Linked DNA regions of Mytilus edulis. The protein of the gene in region 2 interacts with the protein of the main gene of each other region in a pairwise test. Links are inferred from orthologs where the notes say so. Each region holds a gene or a part of one and is shown on either strand. Other genes may lie near its edges.

Evidence for each region. The genes of interacting proteins can lie anywhere in the genome.
Region 1: the proteins of exocyst complex component 2-like (region 2) and ras-related protein Ral-a-like interact in a two-hybrid assay, tested with the Drosophila melanogaster proteins (2 studies listed by BioGRID). The link is inferred for Mytilus edulis from reciprocal best matches to the Drosophila melanogaster genes Sec5 and Rala.

The regions. Positions count from the first base shown.
Region 1 is NC_092345.1:84,788,602-84,796,062, forward strand, and holds the start of ras-related protein Ral-a-like, read right to left. Parts: upstream 3,099-7,461; 5' UTR 2,948-3,098; intron 1-2,947.
Region 2 is NC_092348.1:25,985,435-25,992,466, forward strand, and holds the start of exocyst complex component 2-like, read left to right. Parts: upstream 1-3,913; 5' UTR 3,914-4,020; exon of another isoform or gene 4,021-4,067; intron 4,068-7,032. UniProt on the Drosophila melanogaster protein: Component of the exocyst complex involved in the docking of exocytic vesicles with fusion sites on the plasma membrane.

The DNA of each region.
Region 1 (7,461 bases), on a different chromosome or scaffold from region 2:
TTATTATGTTTGAACAGTTTGGAGCAACAGAGTACAATATGATTCACGATTAAATTTGAATCTTATAGTGACAACATCTATTCGTACCTCTACGATCTTAAAATATAGACCATTTTAAAGGGATCCAGGCAATCATTTGAGTTATAATTTTGAGATGAAAAAAAATGTATTCTTATGATAATTACATGAACAATCCAATGTTTGTTTATATTTTCTTTTTATACTATTCGGTCTGTGAAGACGTCAGAATTTGTGTGTGAATTACGACTACTTTCATACTGGTGTTATCAAATTAAAGAAAAGAATTTAGTTTTGAATTTATTATAATTATAATTATAATTCAAAATAATAAACAATGTGTTGAAAAAAAAATACACAAAAACACTCAGATGGAAAAGTGAATAAAAGCAGCAGAATATGTATAATAAGTCTTGCTATACAAATCTTTGAATATTCTTAAACTATTTTGTACATTAATGAGCCAAGGTAGCTATGTTTACATCTTCATGTATGATTGGTATAAACATGTGAGATCCAAAAGGCATTTACAAAAAAATGTAGCACTTCTTCTGTGCATCTAAAAGACAAATTATGCATGCTCTTGGTCATGTCCACTTTAACAACACCACATCTTACATGTATGACAGCCTCATCAGTGATCCAGTATTTATAACTGAATTTAATGATTGAAATGAGGCAGAAGCACAATGAACATGATCAAGATTCTGAGTCAAGAAGTGATAATTTTATTACTAAAGGACTAAAATTAACAAACTAATAGTAATATACATACATGTATCTTTATTTCTTCCCAATACATTGTAAGTATGAAACAATGGTACATTCAATTATATCCCTATCTATTTAAACAGAGCACATATTTCTATGTTAAGAGTGCTCTAAAAGTGAAATTATCTGCCCTTAAAATGTAACCAATCATGCTACATTGAAGGAGTGCCCTCTAGGAAAAGCTGCAGGAAACACAAATAAATATTCTACATTCAACATGTTAAATGTGTCAATTAGTATTCATTGGAAGTTATAAACGTCAGCAAAAAAAATTTTCTATCTTTTTAACTAGTCCAAATAATTGTGACGTCTTGACAGGAAATTATACTTTTTTTCTTTGATGCCTTACATCGACACTATAGTCACAGTCACGTAAAATTGGCACCATGAAATTTGTTGAAATATTTTTAAATATCAGTTGCATCCACCGGGGGTGATGTTTTTCTATTAGCAGAAGAAAAATCCTTTCCAAATATCAACTACTGTCCTACCATTCATTGTGATTGCACTGTATAATCCTGACCTTCACATTTTTCAAGATTATTTACATTGTAAAACTGTTGTCTTAAGTTTCTTTAAGGATCCCTTATTTACATAACATTCATTACTTTCCGCCTCCGGTAATATCCTTGTCATTGATGTGATACAATTTCCGATGCTTTTTGCATTTAAACAATAAAGATAATGAAATGACTTGAGAGACCCGAGAAAATAGACAGAAAGTGGAACTCCACAGCAACACTTCCAGTAATAACAATTTTGGATTCCACCATACAAAATAGTCTTGGATTATGTGAAGGTCAGGATTTTACAGTGCAAACACAATACAAGGTAGGACAGTAGTTTATTTTTTGAATGTCAGAATGCGGTTGGTACTTTAAAATTTTTCAACCAAAAACATGGTACAATGTACCAAAGGAGTATGTTCGGTAAGGGTCATATTTGACCCCAATTATAAAGTTCATAGTTACAAGACGTTAAATGTTTTAAGTTGCCTTAAAGACACGTGATAAAGTTAAACAGAACTATTTTTGTCAAAAGTTTAATTCTAACACATTGATTTTTACATCCCAAAAAGGTCAAGATAAGGGATTTTGGTGAAATTTGACCAAATCAGCTGGATTTCAACCAAATTGAGGACCAGGAAACATAGAGCGCAGGCGTCGACAAACTTAATTTTCAAATGAGACATGTAAAATGTCTTCACAAACATTATTTTAAAAGATCTTTGTTGTCGACGTATGCGCTTTACGTTTCCTGTCCAATAATCTATGGAAATTTACCCATTTTCATTGATTATTTCGTGAAAATCAATATGAGTACAACTTGTGACGTCATAATGAAACGCAGAAACGTAAAAATTTCAACAAAATGGCTTATTTCCTTTCTAGTCACTGTATTAGCTATTATATATTGTGATATTGGTCAATAAATCCGAATTTGAAATTTATGCTAAAAAGGGGGGCCATTTTAGGACCTTTCCGAACATACTCCTTTACATGACAGCGACTTTATGTCATAATTATTTGACTACTTTTTAACATATTAAAGCTTTTTTCCATGTTTCTAACTTTATTAATTTGAAATAATTGTAATAGCAAGTTCATTTGATGCCAAGTTTTTTTTCTTGTTGATAAAGTAGCCTTGTTGTTGCTTGGTTAGCCTTCTTGACTAGACTCTAAAGGGAGATCCCATAATTATTGGCATAAATTGGTAGTTTTATCAGGAAGTTCCACAACCTGTATAAGCCGTTATGATATATAAAGTTGTCAATGGGATAGTTTTACGACATCCACATCAAATACATTTGAACTGTACACTGAGTTTGATGTTTCAGTAATTTAAGTAAAACTATAAGAGATTAAATGAAAAGGGTGTGTCAAAAAAATATGACTTAAAAATCATACACGAGAATATGATGAGTCTCGATTCACAATCGCATGTGGTTCTAAAACTTGGAGTCAATTTGGGTGATAATAACTCCAAATACAATGTAAATGACAGCATGCGATGAATCTTGCAGGGGTTTACCATAGACTTGAAAAATAATTAACAAATTATTTTGGTCACAAACTGAAACCCGATAAAATGTCATTTTTGACAGGTACTTTATATCTGCTTTAGTCAAATTCTTCTTGTAAATCGTATAAACCCTTACCTTTTTTTTAATAGTTGCACAATTAACCTGTACAATAGACACCAGTATCAAATTCAAGCCATAAACACAAGTTTGTAAACATTTAAATTTCTCCAGCAAAGTGGAAATGGTTCAGTTTTGTTGCATTGTGGGTACCCATTTCGGTACATGCATTTTACGGAACACTGAAGAAAATAAACGACACGAATTAAATCAAAGAGAAGTAACTCGTGTTGAAATCATATTCATAAGAAAAGAATTAGTCTTTCTTCTTCTTCTTCTTTATATACAGAAAAACCTCAACTGGTTGATGATTACTTTCCGACGCATGCCTGGTTTAACAATATTGTAAATGTTTAAAAATATATTTTTGATTTTATAATATTTTTTCTATTTTTATATATACAAACTAGAACACACCCGTGATATTGCGGGTCCTTGACTGAATTAAAGTACATAACTATATATATAAACAATACTACATAGCATATCATTGGGCACATTTCGAACAATGAAATGTGCAGTTATAAATATCAATATGTATAGGTTAATTTGTAAGAATAGACTACTGACATAAGTATATTGTATGTTATAGCTTCAAATTGTTCATATTACTCATTTATAAGGACATTTTTCCTTAATTCAAATGATTGATTAATAAAAGATGATATTAATCTAAGTGTTTTTCTACACTTGTTATTAAAAGTAGTAGTTTGATATACTGATTCATCCTCAGTTTTGGATTGTTTGTCATAATTTTTAAAACAGGACAATTTTGATATAAGAACATTTCTTTATAAATTCATATTTTGTGCAGTGCAAGATAAAATGTTTTTCGTCTTCTATATTTTTATTATGACATAATTTGCACAACCTTTCTTCTCTGTTAACTTGCATGTATCTACCTCTTTCAATTTCAAGATTGTGTGCACTTAGACTTAGTTTTGCCAAAGGTGCTCTATCTTTCAACATATTCAATTGGTCAACATAGTGTGCACGTTTATTTGAAAAACAAAAATGTCGAAAAAATGATAGTTTTGATGATTCTGCAATAAATGAATTCTGTTCTTGTAAAATTTGTAATATATAAAGTTTAATTCTTTGATTTGTAGTGTTTTACCCCATGACTGCTGACAAATTGGACCTCGTTATTTTAGTATTATAGATGTATAGGTAAGTAATATTTTTCAATTTCTATTTTTAATTTTTGGTATAAGATAAAAACAAGATATATATTAAACATGTAGGTGTTGGTAAGTGTCAAAGAGCATCTCTCTAGTGAGTTTCATCTTGGAGCACTCAGTAGTGGTGCTGCGGGCTATTGGTTTAGGTAATTTGTTCAAGTCTTTTATAGTTTGGCAGAAAAATGAAAATTTGTAACGTACTGTCTTTTCTGCATCGAATTTGTCGCTATGTTTGTTTGTGGCTGGACCTGGTGTTTGATTTGCTTTTGATTAGCATGTCAGTATGTGGTATTGCAATTTTGTTGTTTGTTATTCTATGGAACATATTTAATCTGCTTTTGAATCTCCTTTCTTGTAATGTTGGCCAATGAAGTGTGTTTACCATGTTTGTTACACTTTCAGTATATTTGTAGTTGGAGCATACATATCTCGCTGCACGTCTTTGGACTTTATCTATGGAGTTAATGTTACTGTTGTATAAGGGTCCCAGACAGGGAAGCAGTATTCATGTTTTGGTCTAATAAGGGCTTGGTATTCTCGGTCTTTGATAGTTACTGTCTTACTGAGTTTATTTTGAAATTTCTTCTGATGAATCCAAGGGTCTTATTTGCTTTTGATGTCATGTTCTGAATGTGTTTTTTCCATTTTAAATTTGATAATATAGTTATACCTAAATATTTTGCATTTTCAGCTGACTCAAGAATGTGACCGTGCCTGTTATAATACAAATGGATAGGTGTTTTCTTTGCGGTCACTCGAAGTATGTTGCATTTGTCAGAGTGGAACAGCATTAGCCAGTCTTGTTCCCATTTGATTGCCCCTTTTATGTCTTCCTGGAGTTTAAAGCAATCTTATGTTGATTTTATCTGTCGGTAAATGATGCTATCGTCAGGAAAGAGCCTGATTTGACTGTGATGTAAAATTTAGTCAGGTAAGTCATTAATGTATATTAAAAATAGTATTGGACCTAAAACAGTACCCTGCGGAACACCTGATGTAACTGGTATGTTGTCAGAGGAATGGTTTTCTAGCATAGCTGTTTATGAACGATTTGACTGAGGAAAGATTTTATCTAGTTTGTAGCTTGATCTGATACACCGAAAAATTTAGTTTATATAGTTAACGGTTGTGGGGAACCTTGTCAAAGGCTTTTGCGAAATCCATAATGATTAGATCGGTTTGTATGTTTTTGTCGTTATTTGAACACAGCTGGTGAATTAGTGATATTATTTGGGATTCGCATGATCTATTTGCCCTGAAGCTGTGCTCCAAGTCATAAAGTATGTTGTTGGATCCAAGGTGTTTCTTGATGATGCTTGCAATTATGTTCTCTAATAATTTGCAGGAAATACATGTTAATGCAATTGGACGTTAGTTACCAGGATGCTGTTTTTCTCCTTTTTTGAAAAGAGGTGTTACATTTGCGTGGTTCCAATCGTGAGGGTCTATTCCTGTTTGCATTGATTTTGTAAAAATTAGAGTGAGTATGTCTGTGCATGTGTTAATGTGTTCTTTTTCAGTAATGTTATTTGGTCCTGTTGCCGTTTTTGGATTTATATTTTTAATTAATCTATAGATGCCTTCTTTGTTGATGTCTATTTTGTCCATTATTGGATGTGTTGATGGATCTTTGTCAGGGATAACTGTATTGATATCAGATGTAAAAGTTGATTTATATTGTTCGTTTAATATATTAGCTTTTTTCAAGGGATCTGTATAAAGAAAACCTTCACTCAAAAAGCTTGTCTGACTTGAGCATTTATCTAAAGTGACGTTGAAAACAGGCCTTGTACTATTATACTAATAGTATAGTAAGTATTCTAGTACAAGATCAGCAGATTTCCCCTATTCAGAGCTCACATTAAATGTATAAATGCACTTGTATGTAGCCTTTGATCCACCATTCATTCTATATTTTTTATAAGCATGCACAGCTTAGGTTTAATTATGTAGAAAACGCCTAAACCAAGTCAGTAATGTAACAGTTGTTGCCCATTGATGTGTTTGGGCTTTTGATTTTGCCATTTGATAAAAGACTTTCCATTTTTAACTTTAAATTTTCCTCGGATTTCAGTATTTTTGTGAATTTACTGGATTGTTGTAACGAGTATTACAGTATTATGCATTGTAACATAAAATTTATATCAACTGCTTTATGATGTTATGAAACTGCTTTTCTTATACCTACATAAAGACACTAGAAAATAGTCAGCTTCAGAATTGGATAAGAATTGTCATTCAATGTTTTTAATATTTTTTTCTCCACAGTAGCAGACAAAATTGGAGCAGATGTGGTATATCACCCCTCGAATCATCCAAGTATAAAAGAAATTTTAATTAACAGAAAGAATGATTCTGATTTTGAATTCAAATAGTATCTAAAGATCATGTCGATTTTTTTTTAGATAAAATAAACACAAAGAAGGCTACAGGAGCTGATGGTATTCCAGCAAAAATAGTAAAAAATTGTAAATCTTATATTGCACTACAGCTGACAACACTTGTAAATTTGTCAATTGAAAATAATTGTTTCCCTAATAAACATAAAGAAGCCCAAGTGATCCCCCTTCATAAAAAGAGTGACCCATTATTAAAAACAAATTATAGACCAGTTAGTGTCTTACCCATATTTTCTGAAATCTTTGAAAAAATATAGGAAATTCAATTAACTGATTATTTTGATAAAATATTTAATCCATTTTTGTGTGCATTTAGACGTGGACATGGATATCAGACCACACTTCTCAGAGTGTTAGAAGACTGGCGTGAAGCTCTTGATAAAAACCAGTAAATTGCAGCGGTATTAATGGATCTTTCTAAGCCGGCTTTTGACTGACTGCCTCACAATATCATGCTAGATAAATTATCAGCATATGGTTTAACCCCAATGCTGTTGCTCTTTTAAAGTCCTATTTATCTAATCGAAAACAGTAAAGTAAAGTCAACAATGTTCTAGTGGTTGGGCTGACATCCATAAAGGCGTACAACAGGGTTCGATACTAGGGCCATTGTTGTTTAACATATTTATAAATGATATTTTCTCTTTTCCATACCGCCACATGCAATGAACTTTGTATATAGTGTGCAGAAAGTTCTGTTCTTTTCGACATCCTTATTTCCCTCACTGTAAATATCCAATTTAGATGTATGAGCAAGGTTAAATGGTAGTTTATATAACTATGCAGATGACAATACTTTGTCTTTTGTACTCCAGATTTCGATTTACTAATTTCAACTTTGGAATCTGATTCAAAAATACTTATTGAGTGGTTCAGGGTGAATAACATGCAAGCAAATCCTGACAAATTTCAAGTTTTGGCTGTTGGCAAAAAGACCTTTGAAAAGAACCCA
Region 2 (7,032 bases):
TCTAGTGGTTTTTCTGCCACAATTACAAGGAAAACCTGGCTAAACTTGTGCTAAATCAAACACTTGAATCTTACATCGCTATTGATGTTAAGCAATTATTTAAAGGCCATCCGGAACTGTTGGGTTTTATGACAGTCTTCCTTCCATACACACCATCGCTGCAAAATAATTTGAACATTCAATTAGATGATTATAATATTATTTGGCAATCCAAAGAGAACCTGAAAACATCAGACCACAATAAACAGAGACCCCAAAAAAAAAAAGCCAATTTTACTTTACAATGAAATTGAAAAAGTAGTTAGTTACATGTCAAATCATCTTTTGGCTGTCGACAAAAAATAAATAAAATCTAAATTTCGTAGCATTTTACCCCCCCCCCCTTTTTTTTAACTGAATTTGTTCAAGGTATTAGATGAATTTCTAGCAAGTTTCTACGATATTCTTTATCATTTGACAAAATACTATGCATCTGAATTAAATTGTTTACTATTTGAAAAAGTGCGCCTTCTTCTACTTTAATTTACTTCCCTTTATTTCACATAGCAACAAATATTAAAAACTGCCACATTTGACTGCATATCAATTTTTTTTCCCAAAAAAAATATATGTCAAGCAGCATAATTAACTTTACAAATTGGGAGAAAATCAAGATGTTCCGACTATAGGTTAGTATTAAAAAAAAATAATGAAAGGTTGGCATGATTCCATGTTTGAACCCTGACGACACTTAAAATCGAAAATTCACTTATTTACCTATCATATGAAGATACGATGATGTGATAAACTTAACAATTAATAATTTACCTGGTGCATTATCATATTCACATTACGTTGACACGTCTCAGTTCGTCTGTGTTAGCTCCAAGCTCGTAAACAATGTACACCATTTTCCGCTGTTCTTTACCGATTACCTCTAGTCAGAAGAGCCCACTGTTTACAGGGGCGATAATATTTTGTCACCGGTTCACGCACTGGGTTGAAGGAAGGTGAAATCAGGTAATCTATAGTGTATGAAGACTTATTTTCTAAATTCTCTTCGTTCAAACGAACATAAATTATTTATGTTCTAGACTATATAATTTCTATATATCTCGGCCCAGTCTTTTTCTTATCTCATTCATATATAAATAACTAAAACACTAGTTTTAGAACTTGTCAGGCACGATGACCATTCTCTTTTATCTAATACCAAATCATTACAATACATGTTTATCAAATGAACAACAAATTACAAATGTTTGTAATTTTGCAAATACAGTCCACATCACAGAATATATATACGTCCTCTGTTTAAATAAACTTAAAAAGGTTATCTCAACAATCTACAAAAAACAAACAAAATTTGTTACAAAAAGTACATTTAATACTGTTTTCGAATCTATATGTGCTTAAGTTTAACTAACAAAAACTACGTGTGTACATGCGAATGGTCAACGCCCTTATCGATAATTTCAATTCGAGTCCACCGTATTTAAATACACTCGGGTTCATAAAACCTGTTACAATTCTATTGTTATATTAATAGAATTATCATACGATAAAATTCTTCCGCCACGTACATACATATATTGATTTAATAAAACCCTTATGTAATCTGTTGTAAAATATTACAGCATTATTATATACTCTAGCATTGTACCTATATATGTTTTATTACAGGGGTACCTGAGGTCACTCAATCCCTAAAAAACGAATATAACCAATTTTACTCAAATTAACTTAAAAAAATTACATAAACAACATGAACTATGCAATGTTCATCATGTCCATGAAGTCCTACATTTAAAATGAAGAAATTAGTTTATTACAGCGTAATTTTATACCCTAGCATTGTATCTCTTATTCTTTCATTACAGGTGGTACCTTAGTTCACCCAAAAAATAAAACCCGAATATAACCCATTTAACTCAAAATTAACTCAGTTCACCTTAAAAATTACATTACACAAACGTTACAATACAACATCTATGAAGTCTTATATTTTTAAATGAAGAAATTAATAATTATATACCCTAGCATTGTATCTATTACTATTTCATTACGTGGATACCTGAGATAACCCCCCCCCCCCCCCCACCCACCCCAAAAAAAAACACCTAAGAAATGTAACCAATCTAACTCTAGTTATCTTATCAAATATATGACATACGCTATGCATTGTCCACGACGTCCTACATTCAGAATGAAGAAATTAGTTTATTGCAGCATAATAATATATCATAGCATAGTATTTACTATTCTTTGATTACAGGGGTTACCTGAGCCCCCCCCCAAAAAAAAAACAAACCACAAAATACAACCAATTCGTCTCCAATGAAAAGCAAAATTATATCCGGGTGAAATTTGATCCTGAGGAAAAAATGTCACAGTAGTTGTTGTTATTTTTTTATCCGGAGGAAAATATTTCCCTGGGATATTTTTCCTTTGCCGTTAAATTCTATCTGGGTAGTTAACTTATTGAATAGTTATTAGAAAAAACTTACCCTTTACAAATACCATGAAATAATAAAATGATTTGAATTAAACCTATATTGTAAAAAAAAATGTATTATAATGGGAATTCTTTCACAAATTATCATTGAAAAAAATTCCTGAAAAAATTCAAGTAAATATCGTTCTTTTAAAAAGAAAATTATCATTAAACATAAGAAAGAAAACCAGAAATAATTTCGTAATTGTGAAATAATATCATGATTAAATAAGATAAGTGAAATACATGTAAAAGTGAGTTGTTTTCAGATCTCAGTACAAATATAAATTGAAAAGTAAAGGTAGAAATATAGTTGCAATTCTACTGTTAACAGTAATGGAAGAATTTGATTATGATAATATTATTAACTATAAAAACAGTTTTATCTGGGAACAAAGATGTTGTTGTTGATTATATGGAAATCAGATGAATCATAGCATAACAATATATTGGAACAAAAGCAATTTTAAAAGCTAGATAGTATTTACCTGTGAAATGTTATCTGTCTTATTAAAAATTCATGTTGTAAGTCATCTTTTGATATAACTGAATATATAAAAAATAAGATTCAAGGAAAAATTTCACTATGAAATAGATTCAGGAATATATTATATTAATATCTTTAAAATATAAATTGCTCATAATTACCTCCCTTTGATAAATTATGAAAATTTGTTCTACCTTTGTGAAACATTTTATAATTTAAGTCAGGTATATATTAATTGCGATTAACTTGCATACTAGTTAATGGGACTATATTTCACAAGGTTCTGTGAAATATGATACGGCAAATATATACGGGTACATACTATCCGCATAACACAGATAGATTTTCACTCCTCTGGAAAAATCTACCTGTGAAATACCATGCCTGGAAAAAAATTACTATGACAAATTATCCTCAGGATAAAATATCACAGAGGAAGAAATAAACCGTTACACAAACACATAACATAAACAATACAACGTCTATGACGTGCTACATTGAAGATGAAGAAATTATTTTCAAAATTACATCATCATTATATTATCAACAATATATCTATTTTTTGTTGGTATTAAGTCACATTACAATGTGGTATTGAGATTAATCAATAAAGGGAACTATATTTTCGTGCGAAATAATCGATGACCAATTCCCCCGGTTACCTAAGGGCACAGTTACTTCAGGGCATATATCAGTGGACCTTTCTTCCACCTACACATGGTATATTGCCGGCACTCGGTCATGATAATTTCAAATAAAAAAATCGATTTTTAAGGTTTTAAATTTTATAACAAACAAACAACTGGAACTGCACACCTGAAACCTGTGCACATGAATAAAACTGAAAATTGGGCACCAGTTGGTAGACGTTGCAGTACATGTTACTGTGAACCTTTTTATAGTAATTTGATATTTCTTTGATGATTCGCTGCAATAACAATCTATCCGGAGATAGACCACTGAGTTATCTCCACTTGCTTTTTGACAGTGGGGGGAAGTGGATATCAGTAAACAATTTCCCCTGTAAAACAGTAATAACGGTGCAGTAATAATAAGTCTAGTAAGATCAGTCAAATATCAGAATTGTTTATCAGGATCCGCACATTAGTTAGCAAAAACTGTTACGAGTATTCTATAATTTATCTCAAAATACAGGCTATTTTAGGGATACAAAAATGTAAACAGTTGAACTGTTAAGGTTCATGTGGACCCTATGACTAAAATGGCCGTATTTTCACCTCAAAATTTACTCTGAATACAGACAAACCTGCGCATCTGTAAAAAAAATTCCAGGCATATCATGCCCTAGATAAATAAATTTCAAATATGTTTTATGTTTTAGAAAAATAAAAACTTACCAGGATTTTGCCGTTCACTTTTTTTCATTCCTCCAGAAGTTGCCAAAAAAAACTAAGTTGGTAAACAGGTTTGAGAACTTCCCCACAGGTAATAATTGGCCGTTTCAGAATCTAAAGAATCATGGGTAATTTCATTGCTCGTACCCCAAAATGAAAATAACGTCACGTCATTGGTTGAATTTCCATTGTTTATGACATATATATATTTAACCAATCACGACGTTTTGGTGTACACTTTTGGAAATATTACTTAGGATGCATTAGATTCTGAAACGGCGAATTGAAGTGAGCTGTATTGCTTGACATGGACATGAGATGGACAATAGATACCTAAAAATAATTGGTCATTTAAACTGTGTACCTGAGTGGACCATATCAAGATAAACTCAACTGTTTGTTAATTTTATCATCTGCAGGGACGAAAAAAAGTGTACGGCAAAATCCAGTTAAGTTATAAATTTTCTAATTCATACAATGCATTTGAATTCTATTTATCTAGGGCATGCACATTGTATGCCTTAAAACTTTTTCGGATGCACAGGTTTGCCTGTACTCCGAGTAAATTTTGAGGTGAAAATACAGCCATATTAGCCATAGGGTCCACATGAACCTTAAATGTATGTATATACTCGTGTATTGTATTTTCGACCTACTAACATATTTTTCTGAATTTCCCTTTTATATGTTTGAACATACACATGCCTAATATTTTGAGAGTCACCAGTACACTTGTATCTAAAATACACAATGAAATACATTTCGATCTTTAATTTATTTTTTATTTGAATTCATCGGATCGATGGCACCTTTGTTGGCAAAAACAAGCATCTTGTGTTTTCGACCTATCTAAGAAACAGGTCTAAAGTCGGAAATGACATGTCGTACAAATCCGAAATTGATAGAGGTGATCAAACTTATGACTAAATGAATAGAATGGTTACATATACATGTACAACTATAAGATATAAAATATTATTTTGATATTTTTTTATACCCCCGCTTTAAAAAAGGGGGGGTATACTGTTTTACCTCTGTCTGTCAGTCCGTCCATCCATCAGTCCGTCCGTCCGTCCATCAGTCCGTCCGTCCGTCAGTCAGTCCGTCCCATGAAACTTTCGTCACATTTTTCTCAGGAACTACACATCCACCCTTTCTGTAATTTGCTATCAACATTTATATATGTCAGCCATACCGTGTGATGCATTTTCAGATTCATCACTTGACAACTTCCTGTTTACCGAACACTTGTCTGATTTTACACATGATAGCCAAGTTGAAAATTTTCGTCACATTTTTCTCAGGAGCTACAATACAAGGATTTCTGAAATTTGGTTTCAGGATTTTTATAAGTCAGCTATACCGTGTGATGCGTTTTCAGATTCATCACTCGACAACTTCCTGTTTACCGAACACTTGCATATTTTTACACTATTAATATTATCCACTTGCGGCGGGGGTATCATCAGTGAGCAGTAGCTCGCAGTTTCACTTGTTTGGACAAGTTGTACACATTTTAAAAGGAGACACATTGGAAGCCTTGTATGGTCTTGTATATATTATTCATGTTTTTGTTAAATACTTTCGTTAAATTTAAGTTAGTGCATTGTGAAGTGAGGTTGGTGAGTATTGTCTGTAATTTCCCATGACAGACTGATTTTTCTGTAAATAAAAATTAACTGATATTTTATTTTTTCGGTAAAAATCAGTAAGGAGCATGCATTTCTGTATGCAAATTACCTGTAAGTACATTATATTACAACTAACCATAGGACAGTCATGTGACTTAATGACCTTGAAGTTAACTTTGCATGCAAAAATACCTCTGCCATATTTTTTAGAAAATTTGTTTATTTTAGATCGTTTCTTTGGGAAGGTAAAACTAGTATAGTTGAAGCGTACGAAAATGTGATATCAAATAAAAAATCATGAATATTTAATTTTTATAACTTTATTTGGAAAATCTTTACCACACTTGGTATCATTTGCTATTGTTACTAAGTATAGCAGCCGAATATGACGTCACACAGGCATGCGCGGCATACAGGAAGTGAAAGTAAAATTAGGTTGAAAACGTAAGACGGTCGAAAACACAATACATATACTTCATAATTCAAGATCTAAGTAATATTTACTCGTATAAGTAAAGGAGGAGGGCAGCAAGGATCTCCATGACCTCTTTTATGATGGGGCACCGAAATCTTCCAATACACTTTCGCACCCTACACGTTCGTGTCCTAGTACATTCACTGACCCCTAGACGGTCGCACCCAATTTTTGAGTTCCAGCTGAATAATAAGAATTTTTTTTATATATACATGTATGTATTATTTACCATGTTTACCAAAACAAAAAATATTTTCCTAAATAATAATTGGTGACTTACTACATGATTTTTTTTTTTATTAATTTGTTTGTTAATTAATTATCAAATTTTAGGTATCAATGTATGATAACAGCAAATTGGTATTTGCACACAGCTAAATTTGGTATTATCTTTTGTGTGTTTGATAACCATGATGGATTGTTGTTTTAACTTGCTTTGATGTAAATGATTATGTGATTTATGCAACACCAAAAAGTTGCCAGAATGTCACTTTATTTTGAACCAATGAAAAATTATATATTTGTAGCAAAATATACGGTACCTCGAATGACCAAAATAACACTGTTAATATCCGAATAACCCTTGTAATGACCGACTTTTAAACATTAAT